2 linked regions of the Sus scrofa genome follow. The protein of the gene in region 1 interacts with the protein of each later gene in a pairwise test. Links are inferred from orthologs where the notes say so. Each region holds a gene or a part of one and is shown in the gene's direction. Other genes may lie near its edges.

Region 1 (15,179 bases):
CTGCAGCTGTGGCAATGCCTGATCCTTAACCCTCTGTGCCACAGTGGGAACTCTGTTCTATTTCTTAATTACATCTATGATTAGCCAGTAATTTTTTTTTTCTTTTTTTGTCTTTTATCTTTTTAGGGCCACATCCATGGCATATGGAGGTTCCCAGGCTAGGGGTCTAATCGGAGCTGTAGCCGCCGGCCCACACCACAGCCACAGCAACGCAGGATCAGAGCCACGTCTGTGACCTACACCACAGCTCACGGCAACACCGGATCCTTAACCCACAGAGCAAGGGCAGGGATCAAACCCGCAACCTCATGGTTCTTAGATTCTTTTCCACTGTGCCAGGATGGGAACTCCTAGCCAGTAATGTTTGAAATATACCCTAATTGACAGTAACCGTTGGAGCAAGTAATTATTAATGAAGTTATTTAAATTAAAAGATTACGGTAAATGTTGATCACACAGGTGAGAACTTAAAATTGGGGAAGTAAAATGTATGCTCTTCCTGCTGTCCTATTTTCACTGGCTTTTTTCTTGTTGTTTTACCATCTTTCCCTGAGCCGTTCAGTTATCCGTTGCTCTTAGAGTTCCAGGAACGTCATTAACAGAAGTTACATTTAGCTGTGCACCCAGTGACCTTTACCTAAAGTCACCAGAACAAGCGCTCCCTAGGGTGTCTCCCTCCGCCTCCACGCTGTGGCTCTGCGTGGCCGGCAGGAGCGAGACGTGGTTGGTTGGCTCTGGTGCTCGGCCCTTCCGTCGCTTCCCTCCTTCCACGGGCTGGAGGGGGGTCCTGCCCCTTCCGGGGCCCCGTCCCCGCCGTGTCCTCCGGGGTGACCCTGTCTCCTTCTGCACAGGCCGGCCTCTGCGAGGCCGAGCAGGAGCAGATGCGGAAGATCCTCTACCAGAAGGAGTCCAACTACAACCGGCTCAAGAGGGCCAGGATGGACAAGTCCATGTTCGTGAAAATCAAGACGCTGGGCGTGGGCGCCTTCGGGGAGGTGTGCCTGGCCTGCAAGGTGGACACGCACGCCCTGTACGCCATGAAGACCCTCAGGAAGAAGGACGTGCTCAGCCGCAACCAGGTGGCCCACGTCAAGGCCGAGAGGGACATCCTGGCGGAGGCGGACAACGAGTGGGTGGTGAAGCTCTACTACTCCTTCCAGGACAAGGACAGCCTGTACTTCGTCATGGACTACATCCCGGGCGGGGACATGATGAGCCTGCTGATCCGCATGGAGGTCTTCCCGGAGCCCCTGGCCCGCTTCTACATCGCCGAGCTGACGCTGGCCATCGAGAGTGTCCACAGGATGGGCTTCATCCACCGCGACATCAAGCCGGACAACATCCTGATCGACCTGGACGGGCACATCAAGCTGACCGACTTCGGCCTCTGCACGGGCTTCAGGTGGACTCACAATTCCAAATACTACCAGAAAGGTACAGCCCGGGCCAGCGCCACCCCCCCCCGCCCCCCGCCCGTGCTTTTCCGCTGCTGCGACACCCTCTTCTCCCTGGAAAGGCAGCCCGACTGGAGGTTGCCGTGTTACGTTAGTGGCCTCAAGTCTTACGGGGATGTTGTTAGGACGGCAGGCCATGGGGTGTCTTTGGGCTTTGCGCAGGAAGCGTCTCTCTGCCTGTTAAAACAAGCCTTCAAAAATAAGCCTCATGGCCTCCCAAGGAGCTCTCGCTCTCGGCCAGCCTTGGCCTGCTGCAGGTGTAGACCGCGCTGTGCACCCAGTGACCTTTACCTCTGGCAGCTCTGCTGTTTGGAAACGTCAGAAACAGCTGGTTGTTGTCTTAGTTATGGTATGAGTTGTTGTTGTTTTTGTTTTTTGTCTTTTTAGGGCCACACCTGTGGCACATGGAGGGTCCCAGGCCAGGGGTCGAATCAGAGCTGTAGCCACTGGCCTACACCACAGCTCATGGCAACGCCAGATCCTTAACCCACAGAGCGAGGCCAGGGATTGAACCAATATCCTCATGGATACTAGTAAGATTCATATCCACTGAGCCATGATGGCAACTCTTATTTATGGTATGAATTTTTGAAATAGTTATTTTAATGCTATAGCTCAGGCTTCCATTTTTTAACTCAAAATTAATCCTAAATCATTTAATTCATGCTTGTCTTTTGGCACTGGACTCATTTATGTTCATGTTTCCCTTTTTTTAGTTTTTTTTTTTTTTTTTTTTTTTTTTCTTTGCTTTTTAGGGCTGCACTTGCTGCGTATGGAGGTAGGTTCCCAGGCTAGGGGTTCAATCGGAGCTACAGCCACAGCAACGCCAGATCTGAGCTGCATCTGCGACCTACACCCCAGCTCACGGCAACGCCAGATCCCCAACCCACTGAGCGAGGCCAGCGATCGAACCCACAACCCTATGGTTCCCAGTCAGATTCTTTTCTGCTGCACCACAATGGGAGCTCCAATGTTCGTATTTTCTTAATCTTTTCCTGGTTTTCCGTGCCTGTCGTAAAACGTAGCCTCAGAGGTGGGCCTGAGCATGCTGGGAACGCCATCCCCCAGTCACAGCACCTTTGTCGCCAGCCTCGAACAGCGCCCCATGCAGGCCGCCCGGCGCCGGGCGCAGCCCCTGCCGCCACCGCCCACGGCTTGGATCTGAGGCCCGGAACCACAGCCGCCCCGCGGAGCTGGCGGGAGGACTCCTTCTCTCGCTGTGTCGGGCGCTGCCTTGGAAAACTTTGACCTTTGAAACTGGGGGTCTCTTGCGTGTTGAAGAGCGAAGGTTCACCTTGCTTTTCCTCCTCTTTCCCCCGCCCTGCGCCCCGGGTCACAGGGAGCCACACCCGGCAGGACAGCATGGAGCCCAGCGACCTCTGGGACGACGTGTCCAACTGTCGGTGTGGGGACCGGCTCAAGACCCTGGAGCAGAGGGCCCGGAGGCAGCACCAGCGGTGTCTGGCGCACTCCCTGGTGGGGACCCCGAATTACATCGCCCCGGAAGTGCTCCTCCGGAAAGGTGCGTGTGTGCCCCCGGCTCCAGTGCTCAGCCTGAGTCGCCCTCCGGGTTCCTGCGGGGCTGAGAGTGTGTTCTCAGCATGTGGCCCTGGTGTGTGGCCCTGAGGGTGGGGCTGCCCTTTGCCCCCAAGCCCAGAGGAGCCGCCCCAGAGCTGGTGTGGACAGAGTGCGTGCCAGGGGCACCAGGGTCCCAGGCTCCGGCTGGGAGGCACTGCCTTCCCTGGTCAGCGTGGGCGAGGGTCACTTCCTCCGATGCCTCCCCAAGCGCCTGGAAGGTGGCAGGATGTGGGGACCCTGTGCCCCGCCTGGCCGGGCGCAGGAGGAAGCTGATCGTTGGTCATGTGCTATCAGCGGCTGCATTTGTGGGTTTGATTCCGGGGGATGCACTCAGGGAGCTGTGACCCAGGTCACTGGAGCCAGCCGACAGGGCCCCCACCTGTGTCCCCTGGTAGCTGCCCGCCTGCCAGCCTCACTGTAACTGCGGCTGCCTTGAGAGGCTGTGGGGAGTGTTCACCTCGCTGCCCAGGAAAGGTGGGAGGCGGGAGGTGCTGGCCCTCAGGCGGCCACCCTGTCCCCCCAGCCCTCGGCGCAGCCCAGAGGAGTCCCCTGGGCAGGGACTGCAGTGCACCTTTGGCAAGAATTTGGGCACGGCAAGGTTGGAGCGGGGCTTGTGTTGGGACATGGGACAAAATCAGAGGAAGACCAGCCTGCCCCAAGGCCTTCCAGAGGCTGCCCTGGCTGAGTCCCGGGCGTGGGAGCTCCGCGGGGTCCCCTCCTTGCTCCCACCCCACCTGCCGGGGGCGCCGCCGAGGTCCCGAGACCTCCCCGGGAAGCGCTCGGCACCGCCCCGACCGGGTCACAGAATTGCCGCTTCGTTCCTCGTGTGTACTTCGTGTTTGGTTCTTCAAGAACTTGGACTTCTGGTCGGTATTGTTACCAACAGTAACAGTAGTCTTTTTAAATTAGTCTGTCGCCATGAGAGCACATACGGTGCTTGTCACAGGCTGATGGTGGAAAATCAGGACGCATCCGGGCCTGTGCCCCTCAGGAGCCCGACTCTGTCTTTCAGGGTACACCCAGCTCTGCGACTGGTGGAGTGTCGGCGTGATTCTCTTCGAGATGCTGGTGGGGCAGCCGCCCTTCCTGGCCCCGACTCCCACGGAGACCCAGCTGAAGGTAACGGAGCGGGAGTCGGGGCTGCCCCGTGGGGCTGCCTGATGAGCCGGGCGGTCTTTGCCGACATCCACCTTTTATCCCCAGTGGTGTAGTGCTGTCCCTTGTCCCTGTGTGTAACGGGAGTTTTCAAAAGTATTGTTGTGGGGAGGTCCCATCGTGGCTCCAGTGGTTAATGAACCCGACTAGTATCCGTGAGGATGCAGGTTCCATCCCTGGCGTCGCTCAGTGGGTTAAGGATCCGGCATTGCCATGAGCTGTGGTGTAAGTCACAGATGCGGCTTGGATCCGGCGTTGCTGTGGCTGTGGTGGAGGCCGGCGGCTGCAGTTCCGCTTTGACCCCTAGCCTGGGAACCTGCATACACCACGGGAGTGGCCCTAAAAGACAAACACACACACAAACACACACACATACTATTATTACTACTTAGTTAAAGTGTTTTAATAAGTAAAGGCACAGAGTCAGACCCAGGTTTTGACTTGAGGTATTACGGGACCGTGGTCCCCTGCCGTCTTGGTATCTCCAGGTGGGGATTGGGAACAGAGAAGCAGGAAGGCTGCAGGTCTGGGGCGGCCGAGCGAGACCCAGCAGAGCTCAGAGCTCAGAGCGGTGCCCGAGCAAGTCGCTGTGTTGCTTTGGATGTTGGGTGTTACCTGGTTGCCGCTGGCAGGTTGTCAGCTGTGTGGTCAGGCTAGCTCTGCATGTTTCTCATGTTCATTTCAAGTAAGTAAAATCTCTCTGTCACGTAACAACTTAGTGCTAAATAGTTTTAGCACAGGGGCCCTTTACTCTCCGAAGTGAATGGTTGGATGGCCTCGAAGGCGGGACGGGAGCCTCGTTGACGTCTCTGGAACTTCTGAGAACCGCGCTCCCACCTGCTCCCTGACAGTCCTAGAACGTTTTCACATGCCCCTCAGTCCACGGGAGACCCTAAATCAGTAACCTCTTGGTTAGGAAAACCTTAAATTAAGGCTTGGTTTTATTACAGTGATCATAAGTTGGAGTTTGGCAGTGTCTGTATCTTCATCGAACTGCTAAACCAGTGACTGATTTGCCTGCATGATGATAACCTGGTGCATAAATGTGCCGACACTTGGCATGGAAACCCCTTTTAAGTGTACAGTTCAGTTGCATTAAGTCTGTTCAGAAAGGTGTGCAGCTGTCACCACTGCCCGTTTCCCGATGTTTCCATCATCCCAGGCAGAAGCTGACCCACTCAGCGGTGGCCCTGGGGCCCCGGAGCCTCTCTGCTGCTTCTGCTGCCATGAAGTGGCCTCCTCCGGGCCCCGATATATGTGGCACCATGCAGCTCTGGCCTCCGTGGCTGGGCCCTGGTATACGTGGCACCGTGCAGCTCTGGCCTCTGTGGCTGGGCCCTGGTATACGTGGCACCGTGCAGCTCTGGCCTCCGTAGCTGGCTCGTTTCACTCAGTTCAGCCCTGCTGTCGCCTGTGTCCGGATTTCCTTTCTAGGCTGAACGGTACCCCACTGTGTGTAAGTAACGTTCCACTTTGTCTGCCCATCGTCCGGTGGTGGCCGTTCAGGCTGTGTGTCCCCTGCCCTTGTGAACAGGGCTGCCGTGAACCTGAAGGTGCCTGCCTGGTCCCTGCTGTCTCCCAGTGTGTCTGGGTCGATGCCCAGGACGGGCTTGCTGGGTCCGCGGTTATTCCACCTGGAACCTTCTGAGGAACCTGCGTGCTGTTTCCACCATTTGACGTTCCCTCCGACAGGGAGCGGAGTCCCTGCTTCTCCGCATCCGTGCCCACATTTATTTTCCTCTTTTTTTAGTAGTAGCCTTTCTGGTGCGTGTGAGATGGTATCTCCTGGCAGTTTTGAGTTGCGTGTCCGTTGTGTTCAGGGATGCTGAACGTCTCTTCCTGTGCTTCGTGCTCATTTCTGAGAGAAAGGTCTCTTCAAGTCCTTGGCCCCACCCCCCACTTCTTTCTTTGTCTTTTTTTTTTTTTTTTGCTTTTTAGGGCCGCACTTGCAGCACATGCAAGTTCCCGGGTTAGGGGTCCCAGCCTGCAGCCACAGCAATGCCAGATCCAATCTGCATCTGCGACCTCCACCACAGCTCAGGGCAACGCCGGATCCTTAACCCATTGGGCGAGGCCAGGGATCGAACCACAGCCTCATGGTTCCTGGCCAGATTTGTTTCTGCTCTGCCACTGCAGGAACTCCTCCTTTGCCCTTTTTTGATCAGGTGGTTTGGGGGTTTGTTGTTGAGTTCTTCTTGTATTCCTGACGTTAATCCTGTGTCACATCTACACTGGGCATCAGTCTCCCCCTCCATGGGTTGCCTTTTCGCTCTGCTGATTTTGATGTGTACAAAGTTGAAATTTTGTTGAGTCCGTTATGTGTTTTGTGTTTTATTGCCTGTGCTTTTGGTGTCATATCCAAGAAATCAGGGCCAGATCCACCATCGTGGAGATCCTCCTCTCTGTTTTCTTCTCTGAGTTTTATAACTTCAGCTCCAGTAAACAACTACTCAGGTTCCAACCATCCCTCGTACCCCCGCTCCACCCTCGCGCCACCCCACTCATGTGGCCTTGGTTCATCCTGACTCCGGGTGTAAACAGGAAGTCCCTTAGAAAAGAAAAACAACGTTTTCGGAGTTCCCTTGTGGCGCAGCAGATGAAGGATCTGGCGCTGTCCCTGCTGTGGCTGGGCTCGCTGCCGAGGCGCAGGGGTGACCCCCTGGCCCAGGAACTGCCACATGCTGCGTGTGCAGCCGGGAAGGAACAAAAAGAAGTCCCCGAGGCGTCCTCTTCACAGGGAACCTGACCGTGACCCAGGCTGCTCTGTGTGCTTGAGCGTCGGGAACCGAGGGTGTCTCTCGCACCCCGTTCCTCAGGCTGTGGGCCTCCCGCTAAAACCACGCGGGCCATTAGCTGTTCACGTCCTTCTCTGTCTCTTCTCTTTTCCCGAAGGGAAACTATCAAAGTCTTACTTTGATATTAAAAATTTTTAGATTGACGTGTAGTTGGTTTATGGTATGTGTTTGTTTCACGTGTACACAGAGTGATTCAGTTGTGTGGTGTTTCCAGGTTCTGTGCTGTCTCAGGTTATTACAAGACATGGGGCAGTTCCCTGTGCTCTTCAGTAGGTCCTTGTTGCATGTCTGTGAGTCTGGTTCTGTTTCGTAAGTTCATTTTATTATGTTTTTCTAGATTGCACGTAGCAGTGGTACAATGTGGTACTTGTCTTTGTCTGAACTGACTTCACTAAGGATGATAATCAGTCCCTAGGTTCATCTAGGTTACTTCGAGTGGGATTGTTTCATTCTTTTTTATGGCTGCGTGGTATTCCATTCCTCTTCTTAAGCCCTTCCTCTGTGGGTGGACACTTAGGTGGCTGCCACGTCTTGGCTATCGTGAAAGTAGCGGTGCACGGATCTTTTCAGAATCGAGGTTTTGTCTCTTCCGGATGCCGGGAGCGGTTCTGCAGGCTCATACAGTTGCCCTGTTTTGAGCTGTTTGAGGACCGTCCGTTCTGTTTGCAGTCTGGCTGCACAGTGGACCTTCCCACCAGCAGGGCACGAGGGCTCCCGTGTCTCCATGTGCTCACCAACACTTGGTACTCGTGGTCGTTTTGCTGATGGCCATTCTGACCCGCGTGGGGCGATGGCTCGTTGTGCTCTTTGTGTTTCTCGAATATCGAGGGCCGTTGAGATCACATGCTCTCACGCTGTCCCGGGCCGGCCGCCGTCAGCCGGGGTGAGGGGGAGGAAAACCGGTGTGCTGTCCCCGCAGGTGATTAACTGGGAGAGCACGCTGCACATCCCGGCGCAGGTGGAGCTGAGCCCCGAGGCCCGGGACCTCATCGCCAAGCTGTGCTGCGCGGCCGAGCGTCGCCTGGGCCGCAACGGGGCCGACGACCTGAAGGCCCACCCGTTCCTGGGCCCCGTGGACTTCTCCAGCGACATCCGGAGGCAGCCGGCCCCCTACGTGCCCACCATCAGCCACCCCATGGACACGTCCAACTTTGACCCCGTGGATGAGGACGGGCCCTGGCAGGACGGCAGCGAGGACGGCAGCAGGGCCTGGGACGCGCTGGGCCCGCCGGGCGGCCGGCACCCCGAGCACGCCTTCTACGAGTTCACCTTCCGGCGGTTCTTTGACGACAACGGCTACCCCTTCCGCTGCCCGAAGCCCGCGGGGGCCGAGGCCGAGGCGGAGCCGCCGGGGGCGTCGTCAGGGGGCTGCCAGCCCGTGTACGTGTAGCGCCCGGTGCGCTGAGCCCCCGGCCGCCAGGACGGCGGCCCGGGACCCACGGGGTTCGAGTCGGCTTAGAGGACCTTCACTGCATTAAAATGATATTTTAAAGAATTAGTACAGTTTAGAAAGAGCACTTATTTTGTTTAATAGCCATTTTTCTAACTAAATTATAGGGATTGGTTTTGACAAATCATGCTGCTGTTATTTTCTACGTTTGTATTTTATCCACAGCACTTATTCACATTTAGGGAAAGACATCAAAGCTGAACATCATGTGATAAGAAATCTGTGCAATAATGTAAAAAAAAAAGAGATAACACTGTTGTGATGTAACTGATGCCATTTTATTCGCACAGTTGTTTCTGCTTTATATTTTTCCCACATTTCAAAGTTGTGATAGAACGTTGCAAGCTGCTTCTGTTGTTTTGTCCTCTGTGCTTTTTGCATATTGTGGTGCGATAGGAAGTGTGGGCAGGGGAGCCGGCTGGTGCGATTCCAGGTGGCAGCTTCGGCGCAGGGCTGCAGGGACAGGCTTGTCCTGTTGGGACGTGATCGAGTCTTGCCGTTCACAGCGGGTTCTGTGAACACGTCCTTCCCCGGCGCCTGGGCCGGAGCCGGCCTGGGCCGGCTTCCTCCTGTCTCGCTGCGGAAACGCGCGCGTGTCTGTGAAGTGGTGTGACTGTGTCGTGGGTGCGACTGGACTCTTTGGGGGCAGGCGTAGACGTTTGTCCTCCACGAACCTTGCCTTCGTCAAAAGGGATGAACTTAGCTCCGCCAAGAAAGCCCAGGTCAGACGCCGACCTCCGCGTGCCTTGCCAGCCAGGGTGCCCGAGCCCCCCTGCCCTCCAGGCGCCCGCAGGGGCCGTGTCCCAGACCCTGGGTCACCGGGCGGAGGGGTGTGACCTCAGGGTCCCGCACCTTGTCTCTGGTGTGCTTCGAAGGGTCAGTCTTCCCTTGGTTTTAAAAATGACGTTTTTCTCATCTTTGTAGAAGGACGTTTCCCAGGGCGGTTGGAATAAGAAAGGTGATGAAGCCATATGTACTTTCCTAGGCGTGTAGATGTCTACATAACTCATAGATTAACACAGAATATTCCCACTGCGAGTAGTATGATTCCTATTTAAAGTGATTTATATTTGAGTAAAACGTTAAATTCTCTTTTTTGCTTTTTAAAAACCGGACGCGTCCTATTTTCCTTTATATTATTCCACATATTTTTCCTTGAGGTTTTTGGCATGACACATCCATTACTTAGTGTGCATCTCGGCACCAACACGTCTGCGTGCCTTGGCGTCTCGGCGGCAGAGGCTCCGGGTGCGGCTTCCGTGGTGAGAGCGGCGTCGGGGGCCGCGGTGCTCCCGCAGGGGCGTCAGCCTGCCGGGGCTGCGGTCTCGCCGTGCTCTTACTTAGGCTCTGACAGGCTCCGTGTGGTGGGTTCTTTCTCAGGAACTCGGTTTAACTCTTATTTATTGATGTATCATTGCCTTTGAAAAGCTTCTACTGGCACAATTTATTATTAAAATTTTACATCCAAATCCCTTGGTGTCAAGTTTCTTTCTTTCTTTCTTTCTTTTTTTTTTTTTTTTTTTGTGTGTGTGTGTGTGTTTTTGCCGTTTCTTGGGCTACTCCCTGGGCATATGGAGGTTCCCAGGCTAGGGGTCGAATTGGAGTCATAGCCACTGGCCTACACCACAGCCACAGCAACTCGGGATCTGAGCTGTGTCTGCAGCCTACACCACAGCTCACGGCAATGCCGGATCCTTAACCCATGGAGCAAGGCCAGGGATCGAACCTGCAACCTCCTGGTTCCTAGTCGGATTCGTTAACCACTGCGCCATGACGGGAACTCCTAACCATCCAGTTTTGAGAGGATGTTTGGCAGAGTAAGCAGAGCGGTCCACGCTTGTGTGCTGGCCCTCAGCAGCCGAAGCCTCTCTGACTGTGCACACTTAGCGAGTTACAGGGATTCGTTAACCAATGAACCACAACAGGCACTCCCCTTGGTGTCAAGTTTTATTGGAATTTATAAGTTCTCGCTTTTGTCAGCATGTTGTGACGCCCCCACACGCATGTAGCCACCCCCCCCACCGGAACAGGGTGCGGCCTCAGGAAGGGTCTGGGGGAGTTTGGCTTTCAGATCGCAGCACAGGCCCAGTCGGGCGTGGGGGGTTCTGTGACCCAGCCGCCCTCCGCCAAGGCACTGGCACGAGTGCCGATGTTCGAGGAGTCAAGCAGGCTGTCGGCTAAACCCTGAGCAGGAGCTGGTGTCTTGCCTGAGGCAGGTGTGGCGCCGCACCCTTGGTTTAGCAAGGTTGACGGGGAGTTCCCTGGTGGCTCAGCAGTTCAGGACTCGCTGTGGTCACTGCTGTGGCACAGGTTCGATCCCAGGTCTTGGAATTTTCATATGCTGCGGGCGCAGCCAGAAGTCAAGCAATTCGATGCTATTAAGGGACTAGAAAGTACGATAGTTTGTTTTCCTCTGAGTTGGTCTGAGAAGTGCAGCCAGGTGGTCACGGCTGGGCAGTCCTGGCCGGCTGTCCACCAGGCCCCGGCCCCATGTGGGGGGCTCCTTCCTACCCTGCTCCACCTTGGGTGGCACGCAGGCAGCAGCATCAGCAGTCGGGTGCGAGAACATTAGCTACCCCCTTGGAGCTCTGGGATGTTGTCCCCGGGAATGTCGGGGGCTCGGATTGGCCGGGGAGGATGGTGGGGGGCCCCTCGGGCCTGAGGGAGAGTGGGTGTGGGCGGGCAGGCTGGTGGTTCTGATTGCTGGCCCTTCAGCTCCAAGTCTGGAACAGGAGGCAAAAGGAACCCAGGGCACTTGGTGCCTCGGCGTCCCTCAGGCAGCAGCCCTGCGTCTCTGCCTCCTCCTCCTCCCGCCGTCCTGCGCTGGTTTGGTCCAGGCCGAGAGTTTAGTTGTGCTCAGTGGGAGGAATAGGGAAAGTCTGTCTGCTGCTTCTCACTGGAAGTGGAGGTGGGTTTCAATTTCTTTTTTTTTTCCTTCTATTTTTTATCTATTTAGGGCTGCACCTACGGCACATGGAAGTTCTCAGGCTAGAGGTCGAATCAGAGCTGCAGCTGCCAGCCTATGCTACAGCCACAGCAACGCAGGATCCTTAACCCACTAAGCAGGGCCAGGGATTGAACTTACATCCTTGTGGATACTAGTTGGATTTATTTCCACTGCCCCATGAATGGAACTCCAGGTTTTAATTTCAATTGCAGGGTTTTGTTTTGTTTTGTTTGGTTTTTTGCTTTTTAGGGCCACACTCACAGCATGTGGAGGTTTTCAGGCTAGAGGTCAAATCAGAGCTACAGCCACAGCAACGCAGGATCTGAGCTGCATCTGTGACCAACACCACAGCTCACGGCAACACCGGATCCTTAACCCACTGAGCGAGGCCAGGGATGGAACCCTCAACCTCATGGTTTCTTGTTGAATTCATTTTCACTGCGCCACAACGGGGGCTCCTCAATTGCAATCTTAACTCATTAACATCCGGAGTCGAATTCCCACGGGCAGTGTCTCACTGGCTCACGGCCCTGGCAGCACAGATCTGCCAGGGGAGTGAGCCCCTGGCTCTGCACTGGCCTGGTGCTGACAGCGTCTGGCAGGGCCAGGGTGGGTGGGGCAGCTGGCCTTGTCCTAGGGTGTCTCACACTTCCCGGAGCGAGTCAGCACATCCAGCCTCCCAGCTCTCTTCCTCTGCTGCTCTGAACACACGGGCCCTCCCCACATCCCGGTTTCCCACCTCTGTACGCTGGTGACTGGTGTCCCCAAAGGGATCACAGTGGCTTATAGATATGGGACCAGAGCACACGCCACCCGCAGCCCTTCCTTGCCTCTCTACGTATCACGCACCAACCACGATGTACCTTCTGGCTGAGCCCAGACTGGCCTCAGCATCCAACTCAGTGATTGGAGCAGGTCCTGCCAAGCCATCAAATTGGGCCCTTGCTATGGGCCCACCTGCCACCCTGGGGATAATGACACCAGCCAGGACCCCCATTGCCTCTCCTCCAGAGGACGCCTCAGCTCTCCGTGACCCCTCTCCCGTTCCCCCTGACTCCTGCACCAGCAGGAGCAAAGGCAGCCACATTTTTCCTGCCCCTAAAGATGATCGGCTTCCTCTGGCGCCCCCGTCCCTTCTGTTTCCAAGTCCTGCAGAAGGACAACAGGAAGCACGGAGCCTGGGCAGGGAATCCGGGCCGTGAGTCAAGCCCATCAAGCGACTGTATGTGTGTGTGTGTGTGTGTGTGTGTGTGTGTGTGTGTGTGTGGGCAGGGAATCTGGGCCGTGAGTCAAGCCCATCCAGCGACCGTGTGTGTGTGTGTGTGTGTGTGTGTGTGTGTGTGTGTGTGTGTAGGGCTGCACCGATAGCATATGGAGGTTCCCAGGCTAGGGGTCAAAGCTGAGCTGTAAGCTGCCGGCCTCCACCACAGCCCCAGCAACGCCGGATCTGAGCCACGTCTTCGACCTGCACCACAGCTCACGGCAACCCGGTTCCTTTAACCCGCTGAGCGAGGCATGAGATCAAACCTGCATCCTCATGGATACCAGCTGGGTTCTTCACCTGCTGCATCACAATGGGAACCCCCAGTAAGTGTCTTTGTATCACCTTGGGTGCATTTGAACTTCCTCATGTGGGTCTGAATGTAGCTTCTCAAAGTGCCTGCGAGGCTGCAAGGGCAAGGGGGCCCCACCTCTGCTTCTCTCACACCAGCTGTGCTTTTCTTTTGTGTAGATTTTGAAAAAACATTCTGCTGACAAAATGGTGGTTTTTTTTTTTTTTTGTTTTTTTTTTTTTTTTTTTTTTTTTTTTTTTTTTGCTATTTCTTTGGGCCGCTCCCGCGGCCTATGGAGGTTCCCAGGCTAGGGGTCGAATCGGAGCTGTAGCCACCGGCCTACACCAGACCTACAGCAATACCAGATCTGAGCCACGTCTGTGACCTACGCCACAGTTCACGGCAATGCCGGATCCTTAACCCACTGAGCAAGGCCAGGGATCAAACCCACAACCTCATGGTTCCTAGTCGGATTTGTTAACCATTGAGCTACAACGGGAACTCCTGTATTTTTTTCTTTTAATGGCTGCACTTGCAGCATATGGAGGTTCCCAGGCTAGGGGTCAAATCAGAGCTGTAGCTGCCGGCCTACACCACAGCCACAGCAACAGCATCGCCAGATCAAAGCTGCATCTGTGACCTATGCTGCAGCTTGTGGGAATGCCTGAACAAGGCCAGGGATCAAACCCACATCATCATGGATACAATGTTGGGTTCTTAACCTACTGAGCCACAGTGAGAACTCTGAGAAGTTTTATAATTTTTAAAAAAAAAGAGTCTTAGGGAATTTCCTGGGGGTCTGGTGCTTAGGACTCTTCACTCTCACTGCTGCAGCCCAGGTTCTTTCTGTGGTCTGGGAACTGAGATCCCACATCAAGCTGCTGCATGCTGTGGCAAAAAATAAATAAATAAATAAAAGCCTCTATCCACCTGCTGCCATTTCCTGCTCCCTAAACGAAACCTCTCTCATGTCTGGTTTTTCCATTATACTATTTTTTTTTTTTCTTGCTTTTTAGGGCTGCACCTGTGGCACATGGAGGTTCCCAGGATAGGGGTCAAATCGGAGCTGCAGCTGCCAGCCTACACCGCAGCCACAGCAACGTGGGATCCGAGTTGCGTCTTCGACCTACACCACAGTGCACGGTAATGCCGGATCCTTAACCCACTGAGCGATTCGTTTCCGCTGTGACACGATGAGAACTCCCCATTGTACTATTAATAGGCCTTTAATATTTCTTGATTTACTTATTTTAAACTTACTGATTTTATCAATCTTTTCAGTAAACCAGGTTTTAGGTTTTGTGACTTTTCTGGATTCCCATGTTCAATTTCATTGATTTCTGTTCTACCAAATCCTTACCGCTTACTTTGTATTTTTGGTTTTTTCTTTTTTGGCCACCCCATCGCAGGTAGAGTTCCCAGCCAGGGATCAAATCCGAGCTGGAGTTGTGACCTATGCTGCAGCTGCGGCAACGCTGGGTCCCGAGGCCACTGCACTGCCCTGGGGATCAAACCCACATCCCTGCCGCTGCAGACACACCACTGATCCTGCTGTGCCACAGGGGGAACTCCTCACTTGGTATTTGATTGCTGTTTTTTCTGGTTTCCTAAGGTGAAAGGTGAGATTGTTGATTTTATTTTTTATTTTTTTGATTTTATGTATTTCTTCTTTTCTCATATATTCAGGACTATAAATGTCTTTCATGGTGCTGCTTTTGCTGCATTCCACAAATTTTTGATAAGTTGTATTTTCATTTTCTTTGGAATTTTTTCTTGAGATTTCTCCTTTGACGTGTGTTATTTGGAAGTGTGGGGGTTAATCTCCAAGTATTTTGGCATTTTGCAGCTCTCTTTTCGTTATTGATTTCTGGTCTAATTCCACTGTGGTCTGAGAGCTATGATTTCTATTCTTTTGCATGTATAAAAATATATTTAAAAATGTATCTTGTGGCTCAGAATGCAGTCTGTCAACTGTTCTTGCTAAAAGAGCGTTGGGAGTTCCCTTGTGGTCCATCATGTTAAGCATCCATCGCTGGCACTGCCTGTGGGTCAGGTTCAGTCCCTGGTCTGGATTCGATCCCTGGCCTGGGAACTTCTGCATGCCTTGGGCACAGCCTAAATAAATAAATAAAGGGAGGTATTTGAAATGGAAAAATTAGCAATGATAGCAAAAATTAAAAACTCAATGGAACGTTTTCCTTTTTAGGGCTGCGCCCGTGGCATATGGAAGTTCCCAGGCGAGGGGTT
Region 2 (15,868 bases), on another chromosome or scaffold:
ATGTATTATTTTGTATAATGTATTATTTTTAAATGGTTTAGAAAAAAAATCAAGGTGAGCTTTTATGCTAAAATATTTGGGCATGTTATACACTTACAAGGCTTCTGCAAGAAGAACAGTAGAACAGATTTCTTTTTTTTTTTTTTTTTTTTTTGTCTTTTTGCTATTTCTTGGGCCACTCCCGCGGCATATGGAGTTTCCCAGGCTAGGGGTCGAATCGGAGCTGTAGCTGCCAGCCTACACCAGAGCCACAGCAACGCGGGATCCGAGCCGCGTCTGCAACCTACACCACAGCTCACGGCAACGCCGGATCGTTAACCCACTGAGCAAGGGCAGGGATCGAACCCGCAACCTCATGGTTCCTAGTCGGATTCGTGAACCACTGCGCCACAACGGGAACTCCAGAACAGATTTCTATACTTGCCTGAGGAGGATCATTTTAATCCACTTTGGAATTTATGATAACCTTTTTAATTGTTGAAGATCTTAGCCCTTTTGTAGCTGAACTCCAGTAAGTCTGTCCTTATTTAAGCATGTATGGAATTAAAAGCTAAAAAGACTGTCAAGCATAAGATGGCTAGATAACAAAATGGCATTTTGGCATTTTGGCAAAAGGCATTATGAGATTTTACAGGCATATTGAAAGTGTTTGGTTCTTAAACTTATTTAAATCATACCTCTGGGGTTGGAGTTTGGTGGGGGAGGGTCTCTAGTTGCGTAGAATTCCCTAGGGTGAATCCGATCCGCCTCGTGGCTACTCGGGGTCGGGGTGGGGGGTGTGTTGGGGGGTTAGAGCTATTGGATATGCAAAGGAACTGAAGTCATCTTCTAGGAGCACAGACTTCTTGGTGAATTAAGCAATCCCGAAACATGATTTTGTACTCAAACAAATTGACATCAATTCTGAAATACATGGCAAACTTCAAGACCAAAGCCACATTCATTCTTGTTGACTTTAACCTCAAATTATTTCCCAAGATTTTGCTCTCTCTGGCTTCTGCTGGAAGAGTTTGGAAACACAGCTACTGTACCCAGCTTGCAGAAAAAGAAGTAAGAACAGTCTTTTTATTTTTTTGCTTTTATTTATTTATTTTTTAGGGCCATACCCTCGGCATATGGAGGTTCTCAGGCTAGGAGTCGAATCTGAGCTGTAACTGCCAGCCTACACCACAGCCACAGCAACTCGGGATCCCAGCCAAGTCTGTGACCTACAGCACAGCTCACAGCAACAACGGATCCTTAACCTTACTGAGGGAGGCTGGGGATCAAACCTGTGTCCTCATGGATACTTGTTAGATTTGTTTCTGCTTTGCCACGATGGGAACTCCAAGAATAGTCTTTTAATATAATATTTTAATTCCAAATTTGATAGACTCTCTCTTCTCATCACCTTTCTTTTAAACTTTATGTGTGGAGTTCCCGTTGTGGTTCATTGAGTTGAGAACTCAACAGACTGTCCATGAGGATGTGGGTTCGATCCTGGCCTCGCTCAGTGGGTTAACGATCTGACATTACTGTGGTTGTGGTGTAGTCTGGCAGCTGCAACTCCAATTCGACGCTTAGCCCAGGAACTTGCATATGCTGCAGATGTGGCCATAAAAAGAAAAAAAAAAAACAAAAACCCAAAACTTTATGCAGCTGTTAAATTAACTGGTTTCATGTGCTCCCACCACAATCTTTTTTAAAAAAAAAAGGCAGACTGACATTTTCTGATGCAATGGTCTTATCTTCCCATTTCAATAAGGAGCACAATCTCTGGGTTGGAACCCTAGTCTTGTTACTAACTCCTTGCCTGACACTGGGTAACCTTATTCCTCTGGCTTCCTGAGTCCCTCATTATAAAGATGGGAGATGTGAGATATGCATATAAAGCAGTTAGCATGGTGATGGGCACTTGCTGTTTTTTCAAATGGAAATATCTCTAAGATATTCGATTATGTTATTACTAGAAAATTAACTTGGCATCAGTTAAGTCACAGTGGTAGTGACTTATTTGTGCAAAAATTAAAGCAAGCCCTTTGCTTGTAGAGTTGCCCACTGTTTAGATTTTACTCACCTGTAACTCTGCTTTTTGGTCCTCTGTAATTTCTGGAATTTTTGAATCTCAGCTTTGGATTCTAGGGCTTTGATGAGATTCATGCCTACTGTGTTTGGTGTGACTATCTCATGATTGGTGATCTGTTTTCCTATCAGGAGTCACATGACAGATATCTGGTTATCTTTCCTTTAGTGATATTAGTAACTATTGATCATCTGTAACTGGATCCAGATTTACTAAGTTGCAAAATGGTGATATTCTAGCTACCTCTGACTTCTTATATGTATTAGCTGAAATATTTCTAAAAAGATAGCAGTCCCTCATCTACTGTTTGATTACCCAGTATATTTTCACTTTTTATCCATTTCAATTCAGTACAAGGACTGGTGTCCCAACTGAATACTTAAACACAGCCCATTAGGGCTTTAAAGGATTTTCCATGTAATCTAATTCACCACTCTCTTTTATGGATGAAGAAATAAACTCAAAGAGATTAAATTAGTTTTCTAATTTCCAAAAGCTCTTGGGGAGTTATTAGAGTCTCAATAGGAAACAAGATAATTTGAGGTGGACTTATTTACAAAAAGACCAACTGCAAAGGGAGGGAGAGGTTATAGGGAAGCTTTAGGGGATTGTGAAGGAATTTGAAACTAGCAGCTTAAGAGCTCTCGTCATTTCTAGGTGCCAAGGACAACGTGAAGGACGAGTATGAAACTTTGTTAAGCCCTGTACGGATCTGCCACCTTGAGAAGAGCAATGACTTCCTATTGAGCAACATGGTCAGCCTGATGGGATTCACCAGTCCCAGTAGCTGACCTTCCTCAGATTCCCTGGGGGGACAAACCCAAACCCAATTGGTAAACAGGAAGCGAGGAAGCCCATTGATTTAACTTATAGATTAGTCTCTGGAGGCGGGAGCTTGCAGGGGTGTAAACGGAGAGGAGAACTCAGGAAAGAAGTCCAGGCAGGCTTGGATTCCCATTCAGGTTCTACTCTACCATCCAACCACGCATTCCAGTGCTGGCCTCCATCCACAGAACTTATATTTGTCAAAATAATTCATGGCCCAGGATGATCTTATCTTCCTCTGGTGAATTTTGTTTGTTGAATGCCTGGAATTACTTTAATCCAATTTCAGAGTTTGAGAATTTTTTTTTTTTCTGGGTTAATCAGGTGTCTAGAGACAGGGTTGCTGTCCATGTAAGTGTTAGTCTACTCCTACACTACATTGTCCTTTCTATTGTCCTAACAGGTGTTGTCAAAAATGCAGTTCAGTCTCCCAGCTGCCTAATTCAGATCCACCAAAATTGCCAGGCCAAAAGCAGCCTCCACTGTAGGCACACCCTCTGAATCCCTGGCCTTTCTTCCAGAATCTGGCCAGATATTTCATTAATTCTTTGATGCCTTTATTTTAAATTTTGTCCAGCATTCTTAGTCTTCTTCAGTGAGAAGGTTCATCAGTATTACTTAAGTTGTCATAATCAGATGCAGAAATCTCTCCCTTATATTTCTCTAGCTCTTTATTGGGAATTTTTTTTTTGCCCTACCAAAAGTTATTCTCAAAGGTGTCCCAAGGACAGTCTCTAAGTGGAAGTGGGATGGACTCTGAGTGAGAATACCATTTTGATCAGCAAACTTCAGTTCTGCTGCCCTGCTTTTTTAAAGTGTAAAGATGTCATGGACTCTTTGCAATATTATAATTCTATCTTTCATTGACTATGATTTAATCTTTGCCAAAAGCCTCTAGGAAAGCCTGCTATTTGTGGTAAAGAGCTAAGCTATATGTTACTTCTCTAGTTCCTGAATTCCTTTTTTCCCCGATGCAGAATGCCAAGTTGTGAGCTTACAATGAACAGTATAATCCCTTCAGTTCTTAATTAAGATCATAGAACCAGAAAGCATTATATCTGACATAATTATTTCAGATTCCTCTGAAATGCCTTCACTGAATTAATATTTAATTTTATGTTCTTAGCTTTAAAAATACGAAATCCAAATTTAAAGAACACATATAATTTTTATAAATCCACGTTTGATTGCCCTGTATTGCCCAGTGTCCTCTATATCAAATTCTATGTAATAAACCTTTATAGAATTCAGTGCCAAGTTAAGACTTGACTCTTCATATGAATATGTGTCCTTTTCTGTGTTTTTATTTTGGCAGCCAAAACACAGACCTAAATTTCTCAATTGATTGAGTTCTTAATTTATCCCAGCTGCTTGATAACTCTTTTATTGGCTTCCTTATTGATTTCTAGTAATTTAAAATTATATTTACCTTGCTTTGTGTATGGCATTAAATCCCACTTGTCTAAAGCTACAGAGAAAGAAGGAAGCTTGTTAGCTAAGGCAAAAGCAAGCTAGGAGCTAGGAGTGTCTCCTACTACCAGGAGACCCGTGCTCATTTCAGGTTTAAAATTCACCATTTTGCCTCTTCAAGAAGAAACCTGAAAGCTCAAGATAGGCAAAGCAAGTCACAAGGCCAACTCAGGGTCAAAGAGTGACAGACACTCCACCTCTTGATGGAAGAAGCTGCAAAGAATTTGTAGCCATTTAAAATGGTCATGGGAGTTCCTGTTGTGGCTCAGCAGAAACGAATCCATGAGGATGCCAGTTCAATTTCTGGCCTCGCCCAGGGGGTTAAGGATCCGGCATTGCCATGAGCTGTGGTGTAGGTCACAGATGCGGCATAGATCCCCGCAATGCTATGGCTGTGGCGTGGGCTGGCAACTACAGCTCAGATTCGACCCCTAGCCTGGGAACGTCCATATGCCAAGAGTGCAGCCCTAAAAAAAAAAAAAAAAGCAAATAAAACAAACAAACAAATAAATAAAATGGTTCCCAAAGAGGAGACGTTGGAGGGGTGGGGGAGGTGGAGAGGATGTGGACTGGGGTTTGGGATTGGCATATGCACACTGTGGTATGTGGAGTGATTGGCCAACAGGGACCTGCTGTATAGCACAGGGAACTCTACCCAGTATTCTGTGATAACCTATGTGGGAAAGGAATCTGAAAGAGAATGGATGTGTGTATGGATAACTGAATCACTTTGTTGTATAGCAGAAATTCTTACAACATTGTAAATCAGTTATACTGCAATAAAACTTTAAAGAATGAAAACAAATTTAAAAAAAGGCTTTCATCCTTCCAGACAGACACCCCGAGGCATACACAGCAACCTGAAGGCAGGTGGGATTTCAGAATAGTGCCCCTGCCTCCGCACAGGCCCCAAATTTGGCTTGTAAGTTGAATCTACACTATTCAATTGCTTATCAGCTATAAAATGAAATTTCACTTGGTTTCACCTAATACACGTGGTGTAAGATTTATCAGCTAAACCATGCCATTTAGGTGGGAGAGCTTTGGGACCAAGAGCAGTAGTCTTTCAGTGTTGCATTGGGGTTTGTCTGCCAGTAATCAGTGACATCTCTAAAGTTATTAAATTAATCCAAAGTAAAACAAAGCCAGCAAAGTAAAACAAAATCATATATGAAAAATTGCTCAGAAAAGACCTGTAAGCAAGGCAATAGTGACAAGGTCTAAAAAGTTATGGTTTTTAGAATATAGCTTTATATGTAACCTTGGACCTTATTTGTGTCATCAAATGCCACTTGAGAATTTGGGCATTTTCGTTTTCCAGACGTGGTCCCAGTGACTTTCCTGCGTTTATTGTTTTGGGCCAGTATGAAGTGGAAGATTATCTACTCTCAGAGAAGTTTAGAGGCTTGACAAGTTGTTGGAAATATTAAAAGTAGTAAGCCTATCAACATTTTGTTTCTATATGATCACTGACTCACTAAGTATCTACTTTCCTAATGATATCAAGTTCAAAAGCAGATGTGGATCACACAGATTCCAGTTGCCTTCCGAGGAATTCACTGCCGTCATTTTATTTTATTTATTTTATTTCATTTTATTTTATTTTTTGTCTTTTTAGGGCCCCACCAGGGGCATATGGAAATTCCCAGGCCCGGGGTCAAATCGGAGCTACAACTGCTGGCCTTCGCCACAGCCACAGCAACCTGGGATCTGAGAAGAGTCTGCAACCTACACCACAGGTCACCCCAACACAGGACCCTTAACCCACTGAGCGAAGCTAGGGATCCAACCCACATCTTCATGGATGCTAGTCAGGGTTGTGACCACTGAGCCACGGTGGGAACTCTCTACTCCCACCATTTTCTAAACCTTTAGAAAAAGCTTTGCTTTATTTGGCTTCATTGAGGAGACAATTGTGCAAATACAGTTGTGCAGCTGCAAGGTGTTTTCCCACACTACTCTTTCCTTCCTTCTTTGAGCTCTTTACTACTCAACTGCTTTCGTCTTCCTTTTTCTCTGGGCTTGCGTGTAATTTGCAATAGTCTTCTTCCTTTTTCATAGAACTCATTCATCTCTGGAAAGTCCAAACCTGTTGCTTTATTTCACTGTAACTTTCACTGGTCTTCCTAAAGTTATAGCATTCTGGGGAAGTTCTCTGAGAACTTACACATCTGTTTTTGCTTCCCAAATAAGTAGATTTTTTTTTTCTTTTAATTGCGCTTAAGCAATCTAGGCATTTTTCCCCTGTGGTGCAATTTAAAAAAAAAAATAGAAATAATCACTTAATTTCCTACTTACATCTGGTGGATGATGATTTGCCAAGTGGAGTATAGAACAGGTTTTCTATCTCAAGTAAGTAGGCGTTGCGTTGCGGGAAATTTTAAGACCCAGATGGGAATATTACATTGTTCAGCAGTTGGAGCTAATCAATTACTCATTAATGACAGCAGAGCTATTGAAAGTTTGAAAATGAAAAGCACTAAGCGCAGACCCTATAAATTTACCTACCAGGCCACTTCCGGAGGGCGACTGTCACCAATAAACCGCCTGCCAGTTCAGGCCCAGCTGCTAGACCTCCCGCCTTGCGCAACGCGGGCCTCAGCGCTGCGCTAGTCCTGGCAGCGCCGCACGCGGACCCGATGCCGGCAGGGGGCGCTGGGGCCACGGGGAACGCTGCAAATGCCTCCCGAGTATTCGCAAGAGAGACTTTTGCGCCATCCTGCTATCGCGTGCGCTCCGGAATTTTGCCTACTCTAGGTCTTCTTGAGTGGGGTCCTGGTGGGTGACGGCGGAGAACCTTAGCCCCGCGTGGTGCTCGGGGCTGGGCTGAGGTCCGGGAGCCGTGGTGCGGTCGGTTGCGTCCGGGCCGAGCTTCCCAGCAGCGCCCTCCCCCGGGGCGGGCCCTGACTTTCGGTGCCGCGACGAGTGGGCGGCAAGAAGCCGGTGGCCGACACGCAGAGCGGCTGCGAGGAGCGGCCAGACTCGAGCAGCCAGGCTGGTGCTGGGACGGAGCCGCCGCGGCGATCGGCAGAGAAACGGGGCCAGGGAAGGAGGAGGAAATAGAGCCGATGAAGGGGAGCTGCCGCCGAGGAAGGGGGCGGATCCTTTCGGCGGCCGCGGCCGCTGTTCCGGGACGCAGTCCAGGGAGCCTGCCCGCCAGTAAGGTGCTGGCCAGGTAGCTCCCCACCCAGAGGGCGCCCTCCCCGGACCATCCCCGAGAGGCTGGCACGGAAGGAGCCGGGACCGCGCTCTGGGTGGCCAGGGCGCACCGCACCCCGAGAGCGGCGCCCTTGAGCCGCACCGCCGCGCAGGTTCGCCAGCCGACTTGTCCGCCGGCCAAGAAAAGGAAGCGCTGTCCCTTCCCGCTCAACCCGGCCTCCCCACCCCTTGTACTCTACACCCTGCAGCGGGCGAGCGGCGTGGCCACGGAGGCGCCGAGGAGGGGCGAGCCGCCGCCGGGCAGCGGCGTCCCTTCGGGGGAGAGGGCGCCGGAGAGGAGGCGGCGGCGCGGGGCGGAAGGCGCGACACGGGATGGCAGCTGCTTAGCCCGACGCGCGCGGAGCAGCCCCGAGCTGTGGCTGGCCAGACGGTGCGGCTGGGCGGGCGACGCCGCTGCCGCGACAACCCGGCCGGGAGAGATGAACGCGGAGGCGGGTGAGGGCATCACTTTCTCCGTGCCACCCTTCGTCGAGGGCGGCAGTTGCCGGAGGGGAGGAGCGGCGGCGGTGGCCGAGGGCGAGGAGAGCCAGCTGCCACCGCCGCCACCGGGCAGCTTCTGGAACGTGGAGAGTGCCGCCGCCCCTGGCACCGGGTGTCCTAGTACCACGTCCGCGAGCAGCACCACCCGATGCCGGGGCAACTCTGGTGGCGGAGGCGGTCGACGGACCACGGTGGCATATGTCATCAACGAAGCGAGCCAGGGGCAGCTGGTGGTGGCCGAGAGTGAGGCCCTGCAGTGCCTACGGGAGGCGTGCGAGGCGGTGGGCGCTGCCCTGGAGACCCTGCATTTTGGGAAACTGGACTTTGGGGAAACCGCGGTGCTGGACCGTTTTTACAATGCAGGTGCGTGTGCAACCCCTTCCCCATCCTCTGCAGTCCGGGGTTATTTCCCCCTCGCCCCCCCCCCCCGCGGCTGCCACAGGGGGAGAAATGTGTTTTGCGGGGCAGCAGGAAAAAACAATTTCTGAGCAGCAATCGTGCTTCCTACTTATTTACTTCTTGCCCCACCTTAAGGGCAACGAGCGTCGCTGCATGCCTGCTCTGGGCGCTCGTTCGCCACGCTTGGGAGAGTGTATGCGGGTGCAAGAGCCTGTGTGTCTTTGTGCGAGAGTCTGAATGACCCAACCCCGGCCCGCGCTGGAGCCCGGAGGTGCGCGTGGTCCTATCAAAGAACTTCTGTTCTTCTGCGGTGTGAGATACTTGCCCCCATCAGTCCGTCACGATTCACTGTTTTGGTCTCTCTTATGTTAGGTTTGGCCCACATTTTCCTTCTATATATACCTATGACTGTTTTAGATGATGTCCTCATTTTTTTCTGTGTACTTTTGAGAGGACAGAAATCATGACTTCTGCCACTCGGCCAGCTGCAGGCAGAGTGGATCCATGTGAATTTACATGTTATGTAATGATCTTCCCAACTCTGCCCTAAGTTTAGGGGCCTGCTTTCCCGTATCTTAGCAATTCGAATTTTCAAGTAATGACTTCTAAAAGCAATCTTGTAACTTACACTAAACTTGTGTGGTATCTTTGTTAGGATTTCCATGAAAGAACTGGGGTCTGTTTTTCATTACCCCTGATGAGCTGGGACGTATATAATTTAACACTGTTTAAAACACTGATAGGGTGCTTTAATGACAAAGATTAGATTGGCCATTAAAGTGTGCCCATTAAAGTGATTGCTAGGATAATTCATGAAAAAAAATATTTTCCAACTGTCACAGATTTCAGCAAGTGTCATTGTAATTCTAGCGATTTGTTAGCAAATGTTAGAGTTAAAAGCATGTTATTGAAATTAACCTTTAGCACCCTGTATAACCAATGTTGAGACTCTGTGTGTATTTTTTTAAGACATGTGGGCGTAAAGTTTGATTTAATAGTGGTTTCAAACAATAAGGTTCTTGCATGTCTGATCACATAGAAGGTTTTATATTCCAATCTTGTTTTCAGTTCTGATTCTCTTCAGTCTTTTGAAAACACCTGAAGTAGCCTTTGTCAGTTTGGGAATTTAGCCAAGCCGAATATTTTAAGAACAAGAAGAACTTCATGTTAAGGAAGCCAGACTAAATAAACTAGGACTTTCTGGTTCTGGTATATTTTACCATTTTGGGTTTCATAACTAGACATGAGTATCATATATTATAGCTTGGTTCCTTGTGTGGCTTGCTATAAAAATTAGATAAACATAGCTTTTCTAAAAATTACGGCACTCTTATTTTTGGATTGTAATTTGGAAGACACTTCAAAGAACTGAAAGATATGTGAGGAAAACGCCCAATGAGATACTGAGCCTATTTTTATTGCACTGATAGATTGGGTATTTTTATAAGGCTCTCTAAAAAAAATCTTAAACTCTAAGCTAATTTGAAAGAGCTTTCTATCAAAGCTTATGTACTGTTTATTCTCCAACTGCAGTCTCTGGGGAAGGGAGAGAGAAAGATTAGAAGGGACCAGACCTTTGAACTGTATCTCATTTAATCTTCCAAACAAGCCTACGAAGAACGTACATACCATCCTTCTTAGATGGGAATACCAAGGAAGTACTTACCATTCTTCTTAGATGAGGAAACCAATGAAATTCTTACCATTCTTCTTAGATGAGAAAACTAAGGGATTCATCACTGGTGCAGGGTCATAGGTAATAACTGGCAAGATTCCACTTCAGGTGTCTGACTCTAAAAGGTCCTGCTTTGACCTTGCTTCCTCCGTTTATCCGATCTGATTTATTCTCAGAATCAAGAGAGGGACGTGGAAAAATCATGTGACGTACAGAGAGCTGGTAGGGACCTTATGAGCCATCTAGGTGCAATGTGGAATAGTGCAGAGGACATGCTCTGGGGGGCCAGCTCGGTCCCATCTCACTGTTTGTTCAACCTGGGCAGCCCCAGTTTCACGCCTGCCTATGTGGCAGACATGAACTCTGAGCTCTCTCATTCAGCGTGAAGATGTTGAAGATGTGACAGAATGAAGATGGCATCAGTTTTGTCCACACCCTTTGTTTTTCTAAACTGAGGGCTGCCAAGTTGGATAGTAGTAGAGCTTTACTTCTGATTCCTAAGAGAGCACTGGCTCCGTCCTCTCCCAGGGTTCAGCGAATTTTTCTCTAAAGGGCCAGTTGGTACCTATTTTCAACTTTGCAGGAGGTCTCTTGTCACAAGTCCTCAACTCTGCAGGTGTTACCCAAGAGGGGCCATAAATGGGACCTAAACAAATAATCATGGCAGTTTTCCAATAAAACTTTCTTAATGGACACTGAAATTTAAATTTCGTATAATTCACAAAATATTCTCTCCCCTTGCCTCCCCCCCTTTGAAAATGTAAAAACCATTCTCAGCTTGCAAGCCTTATAAAAACAGGCCTAGCCAGGTTTTGGCCCCAGGCTGACCTTGGCTCTACATCCTACCTCCACTTGAAAGTTGAATCATTACGTTAAAGTGGGAAGAACATCGTCCCTCAAGTTCAGGCTGAGTTTTCATCCTGGTTCTGCTCTGAACCACGTCATTATGAGCAAGGCTCCTTGTCTCCTTCAGCAGCTTATAAAATCGACCAGGGATGGAAGTCGAGGGGGAAATTGAACTAAATTTCTGAGATTCCCTCATGTTATCCTGTGAGTTTGCCAAGGCAAGGCAGCAGGGCGTGCTAGGACAGAGCATCTAAATAGGAGTTTCAATAGGAGATTCTGGTCCTGTTTTTCTTTTCTCATTTGGCGCAGGTCATTTAAAAGCTCAGAGAAGAGTGGAGGGTTGTAGTAATTGGTCTCTCAGATTCCCTCCAGCCCTCAAATTCTATAATTTAAAATTATAACAGTTCTGGAGTTCCTGTTGTGGCTCAGCAGGTTAAGAACCCGACCCAGTGTCCATGAGAATTCGGGTTTGATCCCTGGCCTCTCTCAGTGGGTTAAGGGATCTAGCATTGCCAAAAGCTGTGGTTCAGATCCTGCATTTCTACAGCTGTAGTGTAGGGCAGCAGCTGCAGCTTTGTTTCCACCTCTAGCCCGGAACGCCCATATGCCACAGGTGTGGCCCTAAAAAGAAAAACTAAAATAATATCAGCACTGATTTCAAAAGGAATCATTCAGTCCATAGAGATGAGTGAACTGCTTGTGTATATCATGTTGCCACCTCCAGTAGCCCAGGGTCGCTGAGAAGCACAAATTCAAATTCTGGCTCTGAGGGTCCTCAGAGAATGCTTTGAGCTTCCAGGAAATAGTCTCTGGAATGAAACTGGCTGGGGATGGTTCAGAGGTGACCCCTCACCTGAGATCAGAACAGTAAGCAAAGAGGACCTAACAAGGCCCTCGACATTTAAAAGGGGATGTTGGTGTTTGAATAGCTCAATCTAATGGAATGAGTAAGAGCGCTGGGTTACACTTTTACTGCTATTTATGTGTACTGGGACCTTTCTAAAGAATAGGTTGCAGGTAAAGGTTTTCACTGACTTTCCCTATTTGATTATCATTTAACTATAATTGAGTTTGTTCTTTGACTACAGTTTTCATTCTCTCATTCTCATTCTGAGAAGACACTATTGTTCTATCAAAGACTGTATGGAAATTCATTGTATTGCATATACAAGACTATCACTCAGAGATGGCACTTGCCAAGCTAACAACACCCCTTTCCAGCCCCCTGAGTTATAGGTGGTAAATTTCTTTAAAAGCTAAGAGGTGTCAGTGATACAGATGTCAGAGATAGAGGTGTTCCCAATGTGGCACAGCAGAAACCAATTGGACTAATATCCATGAGGATGCAGGTTCGATCCCTGACCTCACTCAGTGGGTTAAGGATCCAAGTTTCCGTGAGCTATGGCATAGGTTGAAGACGCAGCTTGGATCTGGCATGGCTGTGGCTGTGGCATAAGCCAGCAGCTGTAGCTCGGATTCGACCCCTAGCCTGGGAACCTTCACATGCCTGGGGTGTGCCCCCCCAAAAAAAGTCAGTGGTACAGATATTAGTGATACAGAGTGACTCCATTCAGGTAGACCAACCCCAACTGGCAGGATCTCAGAATTTTTTTAAAAAAATGAACATTAATTTTGTGAAGTATAGCTAGAATGGGCTTTATTATTTCTCTACTGTGCTTATAAGAAAACTGAACCATGAAGAAATCATGTTCTTTCATTCAGGCTAAATGATTTGAGATTGCTGCTTAGAACCAGGAGCACCCTTTATCTTTCTTATTTTTTTCACCATGCTCACGGCATGTGAACGTTCCTGGGCCAGGGATCGAACCTGCACCACAGCCGTGACCCAGTGGTGGATCCTTAACCTGCTGCACCACCATGAAACTCCAGCACTCTTTTTCTTAGAAACATTGGTATAGATGGTGGTTAGATTTGGGTCTGGTCTATAAAGAATCTTTGTTGAGTCAGTGTACTTGAAGTGTGAAACCCACTCATCTATTTAAACACTCAGGAAAATTATGTTCCTGCCAACCTAAAACCAGGTCTTTAAAGACATCTTCCCCTTTGTTAGAATCAGGAACGTTTGTGTTCATTAGCTCTGGTAGCATATTGGCTGGATGTAGGAGCATCACTTTGGATGCGTAGTGATGAGAGGAGGGACTATGGGTAGTGATGAGTGGATGGTGAGGTACAGGGTGAAGGAAGGATTGGGAGGCTGCTGGGAAGGGCGGGAGGAAGAAGGATGCCCAGTGAAGGAAGAAGCTATGCCAGCAGGGGATCCATGAGCACTTTCACCTTTGTCTCCTCCAAACCTCTTTGGCCCTTGACTTCCCACTGATGTAAGACCCAGGATCACTGCTCTGCTCAGAGGCACCTTGCTCCCTCTCAGGGGGCTCAGGGTTGGATGGCTGCCTGTTTCCCCTTTCCTTGCCCCCAACCATTACATGGCCTGGCCTTGCTCTTAGTCAGGCTCGCTGCTGATTGCAATCTCTTGCTCAGCCTTTAACCTAGTAGCAGCAGTGGGTAACAGGAAGGAAACATGTGCAGGTTGAAATTTTCAGAATTTAGTCTTTACATTTTCATCTGTATTATGTTCTCACTCTACTTGGACCCTTAATAAAAGTTTCCCATTTGGGCCACGTCACTGAACTTTCTGGGTTTGGTTTCCCCTGCCTCCAGCTTAGCTCCTTAGGCCTTCCAATCTCATTTGATTAAACACAAATGAACAAACATAACCTTTGTCTCCTGTCTGCCCCAGACTGAGAAGTCCCTGAGACTCTTCCAGCCCACTTCTGCATTTTTTGCTTTTCAATCCAGTGGTTTTCCTCTACACCAGCTTATATACTTGGAGGGAGTGGGTGGAGTCAGTATTTCCCAAACTAAATGGTTCCATGAACCAGTGTAATAAAATCAGAAGACTGACATATGTTTGTCAATGGTTTATTTTCCAAGTAAGGATATTATAAAGACAGAAAAAGGAGTTCCTGTCGTGGCTCAGTGGTTAACAAATCCGACTAGGAACCATGAGGTTGCGGGTTCGTTCCCTGGCCTTGCTCAGTGGGTTAAGGATCCGGCGTTGCCATGAGCTGTGGTGTAGGTCACAGACTCAGCTCGGATCCTTTTCTAGGAGCAGCCCTAGAAAAGGCAAAAAGAGAAGAAAAAAAAAAAAAGACAGAAAAAGAAAACTTGACAATCAGCCAGCTACTGCCACCATTTCTTAAAAATAAAAAACATTTTTATGTTGAATTAGGGTAGGTATAACCTTAGAATAAACAATAGCTGTTTGGTATAGTGAACATTTGGAAAAACACATTATTTGTTGTTACTTTCCCCACTTCACCACGATGGATGAAAACCTTATCATACCAGTCACGAGAGGGGTATTTGAAAACCTCTGGTCTTAACCACTTTCCAGCCCCTTCCCACTTCCAGTCACTGCTTCTTTGCCCAGGAAACAAGCTTTAGCAAAATTTTCAAAAGAGCAAACTCATAAGGAAAAAGTTTAGGAAAGGATTTTTAGAAAAATATCCCAGTGGAGCTCCTCTCATGTTTTCCATCTGCGTTTTGACTTTGATGCTGGCATGTCATTGCCCATCTGCTCTGAGCCCAGAGCCCTGTACTTTCTCTTGCTTTCTTGGAGGCAAGGTTATATTTTCCCAAAGAAGACCTTTACTAGAAAACTGGGAAAAAACAATGCCACAAAGAAATCTCCAAAACACAGAAATAAATTTGTTTTTAGAGCACCCAGTTTCTTATCCCAAATGTTCAACTACGGGTTCTTACCACTCGTCCTGTTTCCAGCTCCTGGGATCCTGGCCTCTTGCCTCAGCTTGCTGTCCTTTGGTCTGCTTAAGCTATTCATCAGTTGGTAGTTCAAGTGGGTTCCACCTCTAGGTGAGGCTCCTAATTATAAATACACTGGCCTTGTCCGACCAGTGGCCTTGGCCAGTGCTACCCCTCCGGGAGTTCTCTGCTACAAGTCAGTTCCCCTCTGGTAGCTACAGGGACTGTCCCCTGCTTCCTGTTTTGGAGACCTGCTTAGAGGCCCGTTCAGTTCCTGTTTCTGGTTTGCAGGAGAAAATTGGTTCACCGCTTCCTTGTGGAGCAGAGGGAGACGGACGGGCGCAAAGCCCAACGAATGTGCAATTCTCCACCAACAGGTACCAACTGGTTCTGCTTTCTTTCCAAGTTGTTGCCCCAAGTCGTCCCTTCAGACAGCAGCCTACTCTGCCTGGGGCAAGATGAGAGTTGAGAATGTGGGAAATGAGGTAGGAGTGGGCAGATGCAGGATCCAAAGCTCTGTGAGTATCAGGAAGAAACCAGCCGCCTTGGGGAAGGTATATCTTGAAGAAAACAGACTCACTTTCCCATCATTTGGATGTAGATAAGTGGGGAAACTGGCTGTGTTTAAGAAAGTTACCCCTTATATTCTGGGAGCAAAATTAGATTTGGAAATTTTATTAGCGACGTAAAAGTAGAAAAGCAAGGCAGGATTTTAAATTATTGAAAAATCTACTGATGATTCTAAGACATTGACTTCTTTAGTTGCTTTAGTATATTGGCTTATCTCTCTGGCTGGAGATATTGACTCAAGAAATTCATCAAAATATGTGTCAGATTACTGGAGGAGAAAGGGTATGAGACAAAAGCAACTTGTAAAATTGTCTAATTATCCCAAAAAATTTAAAAAGTGAGTACTTACATCTTATTTGAGTTTTATTTTGTATTTTTTTCCCCTACAGAAAACATAAAAACTAAAAGAGGGAGAACCCAGGCTACATTGTAGCAATTTTTTAGGGGACGCAGCAAGGAGGAGAGAAAACTTAAATGTTAATAGCATCTCCTGCTGCAAATCATAGCACAGCAGATCTGTGTAACTTAAATGTCTCAGA

What was found.
Region 2: the proteins of LATS2 (region 1) and MAP3K5 come close enough for resonance energy transfer, tested with the Homo sapiens proteins (2 studies listed by BioGRID, with this or other methods). The link is inferred for Sus scrofa from reciprocal best matches to the Homo sapiens genes LATS2 and MAP3K5.

Annotation. Positions count from the first base shown.
Region 1 is NC_010453.5:1,220,245-1,235,423, reverse strand, and holds the end of LATS2 (serine/threonine-protein kinase LATS2), read left to right. Parts: intron 1-851; coding exon 852-1,434; intron 1,435-2,793; coding exon 2,794-2,976; intron 2,977-4,044; coding exon 4,045-4,151; intron 4,152-7,901; coding exon 7,902-8,372; 3' UTR 8,373-9,901; downstream 9,902-15,179. UniProt on the Homo sapiens protein: Negative regulator of YAP1 in the Hippo signaling pathway that plays a pivotal role in organ size control and tumor suppression by restricting proliferation and promoting apoptosis.
Region 2 is NC_010443.5:27,372,867-27,388,734, forward strand, and holds the start of MAP3K5 (mitogen-activated protein kinase kinase kinase 5), read left to right. Parts: upstream 1-7,276; 5' UTR 7,277-7,995; coding exon 7,996-8,419; intron 8,420-15,868. UniProt on the Homo sapiens protein: Serine/threonine kinase which acts as an essential component of the MAP kinase signal transduction pathway. Plays an important role in the cascades of cellular responses evoked by changes in the environment.